2 linked regions of the Ovis aries genome follow. The protein of the gene in region 1 purifies or fractionates together with the protein of each later gene. This does not show direct contact. Links are inferred from orthologs where the notes say so. Each region holds a gene or a part of one and is shown in the gene's direction. Other genes may lie near its edges. The genes, in order: SPSB4 and CUL5.

What was found.
Region 2: the proteins of SPSB4 (region 1) and CUL5 purify together in Homo sapiens (co-immunoprecipitation; 4 studies listed by BioGRID and IntAct, counting the BioPlex papers as one, with this or other methods). This does not show direct contact. The link is inferred for Ovis aries from reciprocal best matches to the Homo sapiens genes SPSB4 and CUL5.

What each region holds. Positions count from the first base shown.
Region 1 is NC_056054.1:248,507,782-248,511,700, reverse strand, and holds the start of SPSB4 (SPRY domain-containing SOCS box protein 4), read left to right. Parts: upstream 1-1,606; 5' UTR 1,607-2,228; intron 2,229-3,919. UniProt on the Homo sapiens protein: Substrate recognition component of a SCF-like ECS (Elongin BC-CUL2/5-SOCS-box protein) E3 ubiquitin-protein ligase complex which mediates the ubiquitination and subsequent proteasomal degradation of target proteins.
Region 2 is NC_056068.1:17,395,623-17,398,445, forward strand, and holds part of CUL5 (cullin-5), read left to right. Parts: intron 1-1,000; coding exon 1,001-1,195; 3' UTR 1,196-2,823. UniProt on the Homo sapiens protein: Core component of multiple cullin-5-RING E3 ubiquitin-protein ligase complexes (ECS complexes, also named CRL5 complexes), which mediate the ubiquitination and subsequent proteasomal degradation of target proteins.

The sequences.
Region 1 (3,919 bases):
AGACACGTATAAAAAGCATTCTTGCCCTTTGAAGGGGTTCACAGCTTTAGGAGGGAGACACGTACAAACAGGCAATGACAGAACAGTAGGATAAGTGCAAATAAATACTTGATCAATACCCCCTTCGGCTGTCCGACCAATGGCTAAACTGGTTTGTGAAGCATCCTCTTTTGCTTGGACTGTATCAGGAGTTCCAAGCTTGCTTGCCTCCATCCATTCACTCCGCTTAGAGATCTTTGGACAATGTAAATATGATAAGCATTACTTTGATTAAAGGCCTCAACTAATCTTGAGGAACGATCAAACTCTAGTTGACTTCCAAGAACCTAGCCACTGTCCATCCCTCCAGCCACATCTTACCTCATCGTTTGAAAGTGAAAGTGAAGTCACTCAGTCGTGTCCGACTCTTTGTGACCCCATGGACTGTAGCCTATCAGGCTCTTCCATCCATGGGATTTTCCTGGCAAGAGTGCCGAAGTGGATTGCCATTTCCTTCTCCAGGGGATCTTCCCGACCCAGGAATCGAACCCGGGTGTTCCGCGTCGCAGGCAGATGCTTTACCCTCTGAGCCACCAGGGAAGCCGCCTTACACTCCCGTATATACCGGAGGCTCCATGCTGTGATAGGTACCTAGACAGATGACCACCCTGTCCTTCTGTCTCCATGGCTAATTCATGTAGCCACCTCTATTAGGAAGCATTTCCAGATTGCCCTTCCCAGACAAAGCTGCCATCTGTTTCCCTAGGTTGAGTTACCTTTTACTTGTCTGTGTCCCAGATGAACCGGCGCTCTGCCCGTAGGCCGTTTAGTATCCGGCATAGAGAGGGCTGAGGTCAGACCAGATCACTGTGGAATGAACTAAGCTCACCTCTGGGAGCACAAAAGGCACCCAGACCAGTAACTGTCAATTTTCCAGAGAGAGCACAGATGCTACAAGCACCCTCTTGGCCTCCGCTCTGGCCACTCCCTCTTCCTCCGCTCGAGACGGGCAATCGGGCGGCCCACCTCCAGTCCTGGCAGCAGGCAGACTAAAAACACCTCTTTGCTCCTCGAGTGGTCGGGGGAAGGCTCCGAGAAGCAGGAGAGGTATGAAATTGGACTTTAGAAGATGAGCTGGAATCTGATCTTTAAAAAATAAAGTGTAGACACGCTCCTGAGGAAGAGGTCATTAAACCAAGCTCTTTCCCCGGCGCTATTTCCCACACGAGTTGGGTAAAGACAGCAAAGCTGTCGAATGACTGTGTGTATCTCCTCCGGCTCAGGGGCACCCACCCTGGCGCTCCCAGCGCGCTTGAATGAATGGGGGTGGGGGGGGGAGCGCATGAATGAGTGCGTGAGTGAGGGAGTGCGCGGGCTAGCGGGCGAGTGAATGGCGACCGCGCCGACTCGGCACGCGGCCGCGGGCTCCACTTCCCTCTCCCGCCAGCTGGTGGCCTCGGAAAGGTGGCGGCGCCGGCAGCGGCCCGAGCTGGGACGGGCCGGGGCGCGGGATGGTGGGGGAAGGGGCGTTCCCGGCGGCCGCGCCTTCCGCGGCTATTGGATTAGTGGCCTTCAGGGATGAGCTCAGCCGGATCGGCTTTCAGCTGCAGCCTCTGGGCCGGCCGGGAAGGCGGGGAGCGGGCGGCGGCGGAGGAGGAGGGGGAGGCGGCGGCGGCTGCAGCATCCAGAGCTGGCCGCGGCGGCCGGCGCGCCCCGTGCACAAAGACGCCCAGCCCCTTGGGGAGGGCGATGAGCGCACCGTAGCCCAGACCCGGGCCCCAGTTTCGAACACCAATGCGTGCGCCCAGGGCGAGGGGGAAGACGCCGGGCGCTCCAGGGGCGGGCGGCAGAGGCGCGGCCCGTGCGCCTTGAGCTCGGGGCTCGCCGCCCTCCAGGTCCAGCGCGGAGCTTAGGAACCGCTGGAGCGCAGGCCTTGGCGCGCCCCCGGGATCCGCGCAGAAAGACGCTTCCCCTCTCCCACCCGACCTCCTGCGCCCTCTCGCCGCGCTGGAGCGCCAACTTCCCCAAGAACGCTCCAACTCTGGGCCACCCTGCTGGGCAGAGGGGGCGCTGCTGCGGGGCTCTAGCCGTGAGGACGCGCCCCTGGCCCCGGGGAACAAGCCGGCATCTTCGGGGTCGCTCGGGCGCCCCTGAGCGGGTGGCAGCGGCCGCAGACGTCTCTCCTCGGAGTCCAGGACCTGCCAGCGCTGGCGATTCCTCCAGGGCAGGCGCTTGCCCTCTCTTTTATGGTGAGTATTCTCCATCTTCTGGTGAGAGGCGCGCGGGAGCCGAGGTCTGGCCGAGCGGACCTCGTGCGGGCCGGCACTGGCCACAGTCCGCGCTCCTGGCGTGCGTCCGGTCCAGATCCCCGGGAATTCCTCTCTGCGGACTGTGGCAATCCGAGCTGGCTGGTTTGCCTTTGGGCGTTTGGGGCTGGCCCCTGGTGTCATCGGTTCGAAGCCCGCTGCTTTTCTGCGTAATGGAGACAGCACAAAAAACTACCCCCCCGCCCCCGCCCGAGTCACCCTGCCTGGGTTTAGGTCCATGATCTGTCATTCACTGAATGAGTGACCTTGGACAAGGCGCCGAACCTTGATTTCTTCATCCGTAGAATGGGGGTGATAATGGTACCCTTTTAATAGGGCTCTTAGAAGCATCTATGGGGTGGTCCTCGTAATGTACGTAGACCTGTTCCTGACACATAAGAACCACTCGATCAAACGTTAGCCAGCATTATTATTAGCTGTGTGATCCCAAGCGTGTCATCCAACTTTCCGGAGCTGCAGCAGTTCTTTCGTCGATGTATTGGGGACAGTAATTTCCAGGAGTCTGTTCGTAGGGGTTGGGGGGCGGGGGCAGTTCAGCGCCTGGAAGTGAAGCGCCTGGCACGCAGTGGGTGCTGAAATGGGGGCTGTTGTTACTGTTTACTCTTGACGCTGGATAGTGAGGCTGGTCGCCCAGTCCGAGCGCTGCTTGGGGCCAGTTCCTGGCCTTGCTTGAAGACAAACTTGGCGATGCTTTGGAAGGGAGGGGGTCGCGTGCAGAGTGAGTCACGGGCAGGGGAGGGGGGTGGGGTCTGGGAAGAAGGGAGGAGGCCAGAGCCTGGAGCGCGGCAAATGTGTCCGCCCTGGTAGCGCAAGACGCGCCACGGGCTCGGAGCCAGGAGGGGACGCCGAGCCCAGGACCTCTTCCTGGAGGGAGAAGAGGGCTTGAGGGGAGAGTGGGGTGGGGAGTGACCACTCCCGCCTCCGGGATGGAGGAGCATGGGCTTTTCCGGACTGGCAGAGAGAGGAGGGCACTTGTGGGCCGTAGCGCTAGGAGATGGAGAGCGCTCTGGAATAAGGCTTGAGTTCGAATTCCGCCTCCACCATCAGCCCGCAGTGTGACCTTGGACAAGTACTCGAATCTTTCCCAGCTTAGTTTCCTCCTCTGCTCCAGCCTCCTCCTGGGGGAGTTTAGGGGTTGAAGGAGTTCTCTCCTCTCTAGGAATCAGAGCCTCCATCCTCCATCCACCTTCCGTCCTCCAGCAATCGATGAGCATAAATCAGGAAGACGTGCCTGAGCTTGGGGGAAACGCTGTTAAAAGGAGAATACGGGAGCTGCCCGCCCCTCCCCCCTCCAGGCGGTCGTTGCACCTAAGGAAGAAGCGCCTGTGCAATACATCTCTCCCGCCTCTCCCTCTCTTTCCCCCTTGATGCCCGTCTCCTCCAACCCAATTCTGCAGTCTCTGTCACTGAGACTGATGGGGGATCCTTCTTCATCCTCCACAACTCCATTTTTCAAAGAGTGCTGCTGATTAATGGAGTTTGTAGAAAGACACTGTGTTGGTAGCTTGATAGAAAGATGTTTGAGACACAAGACACCATCCTCCTGAGACACATAACCCTCTGATAGATTCCATTTTACAAACTTCCTTTAAAAGTACCAATAAAAGGAACTG
Region 2 (2,823 bases), on another chromosome or scaffold:
AACAGCTCTAACACAGCCATCATTTTCACCTCTACCAAAGCTAGAATAAGAGAAATTAGAATATTTACAATTGTTCTTTCCGCCTTACTGGTTTCTGTAAAGTACAAGTGCCTGAAGGAAGACAGACTTTTTCCCTCTTCCTTCTTTCTCCCTGAACCCTTGACATAAACCCTGTGATCCAGAGTGTGGATTTGGACATACTGTTAGGAGTAATTCTTCTGACCTGCTCGTGGCAGTGTAGGAATTCTCATGTCTGTGCAGAGGAAGTTGATGGTATACTTTTCTCATACTGAATACTGCCTGACTCCCAAGCCTATTGCCTTGTAGCAAATCTCTGTTTTTTAGTGTTTAAAAGCAAATATTAACACATTTCTGTTTTAAACTTCTTTTATAATGAATTTTAATCTCCAGTAAGGCAGATGAATGCCTTTTGTTGACTAAGAAGAGACCTTGTACTGGAAAAGACAAAAGAGAAAATATTTAGTAATTTTCTAATTATCTATATTATATAGATTAATAGTAATTAAATCATCAAGGAAATTATTAATAAAATTGACTTAAATGAAAAGTGCTTACTCCTCCAGAAAGTTGAACCATTTAGTCGAGTCATTATAAACTGAAGGTACTTGATAATAAGTACAGCTCATTAATCTGATAAGTATATAAAGAGTAGTGATTGTTAATTTTTAAAACAGAGCAACTAAAGCAACTGACTGCTACTACTATGCAAAGAAATAACTGTAAATACAAGGGGAAAAGTATGTAAAAAGGGATATGAGTAATTTTGCTTTTCTTTATTTTTCAGAATATCCATAATATGCAGATTTTGTTTTCCACAGTGAAAAGAAGATACTTTTGTTTGTTACAGGTCTCAAGGTTAATCCAGTGATTGCTAATCATTTGGATAGATGTTGGATAGAGGATAAAAAACATTAAAAGTCATTTTTCGTTTTGTTTTACTTAAAATAATTTAATACTTTATTTTTATTTTTTCTTTTAGGAAGCTATCATACAAATAATGAAGATGAGAAAGAAAATTAGTAATGCTCAGCTGCAGACTGAATTAGTAGAAATTTTGAAAAACATGTTCCTGCCACAAAAGAAAATGATTAAAGAGCAAATAGAATGGCTAATAGAGCACAAATACATCAGAAGAGATGAATCTGATATCAACACTTTCATATATATGGCGTAATTTTGAATATCATGGACAATATTAAGAACCCAAATTTTGGAGTGCTTCGGCAGAAAGTTCTTACAGTTTGTGCTAGGGGAAGGTTTAGTTGGACTTCGATTACATAAATATTAAAATCTCTGCCTTACCTAACAAAACAACTATATTTTGCCAATCACATTAGTTAGCATGGTGGCATTCCTTTCATGTTGCACCACTCTGTTTTAACAGCATGCTGTTTTGTGAGAAACTTGCATTCACAAAGAGCCCATTATGAGCTTTTAAAATCCTGGTTTATACCCACCAGAAGAAATAACAGTTGGGAGGGTGAAAGTGGGGTTCTTGTTGCCTTTTTTTTCCTTTTTTTTCTCCTGTCTTAGAAAAATGTATTTGCACAAGGAAGGATCTTCAGATGTTTGTGCACTGAAAAATGCTGTTATGTTTTGTTTTTGTTTTTAAATTCAATTAAAACTAGAAATAGCACTCTTGATTTCTTTTGATCAAAAGAGTGAGCTGGTCTACACAACATTGGGACAGGGCAGATATAGATGAACAGATAAGTATTTAGTATTATCATATGTTCAAACACTGCTTCAGTATAACAACTGGATTTTAGTGGGGACTTCAAAGTGATAGTAAATTTTTCCAACTAAGAAATGTTGGCTTTCGTTAAGCAGGAGACTACTGTTTTAGTTGTTCATTGTTAAATGGAGTGGTTTTTTTTTTTTTTTTCTAATCTTATATGGCCAGAGAGTTTGTTTTGAAAAAGTGAAGCTCATATTATTATTTTAGTTGTTTAAAAAAATGTATGGAGATAGATCATTTCAACTTCAGAGTCAAAAATAGCAAAACTCGCATATTAAGTGTTTACTAAGACACTTAATATTATATACCTAATATTTATTATGCTACACTCAAATTCATTAAAAAATAAGGCAGAAATCTCCTGCTTTAATATAATACAATTATATAACTGACCTCTTAATCTGTAGCATAGAAATACTTTGAAGTTTTAAAGTCTCATTATTAGGGATTTGTAGCCTCAGGTTTCTGGAAAGGAAGATATTCTGTTTTAAAAAGTAATAATTATCAGTCACCTACGAGGTAAAGAAAAACCACAACATAGACCTGAAAAGCATAAGCAGAATTGTTGCAATCTTAATATGAACAATAAACTTGCCAAATAATATGTATATATATATATTTATATATTTTGAAAGTAAGCATTTAAATAATGTTCAGAACCAACACTTAAACTTCTTTCTTTCAGTCAATCCAAAGTAGCAACTTTTTAGTTGCTGGCAACTGAATACCCAGAGTAATGGAGATTTTAGGACTTGAAGACATGAACAACTTAAAAAAGGAAAACTTATTCCCCACTGGGAAAGAATGGCTCAACATGGATTTTATTCATTGTGGTGCCCATTTCAAAACTTTTCTTGCAAATTATATTTTATTTGACATTAAGTAATATTTTAAATGATTTTGATGATAGTAGAAAATGAAGTGCCAGTGTTGAACAGCATACAGTATTATTATTGCAGAGTGCTTTTAACAGCATTTCATGGAATCTGTCCCCAGTCCCAAGAGGCTTTGTGAGATGGCCTGATGAAGGAAAGCAAATTTAAAACATTTAAGGTTTTGCTGGT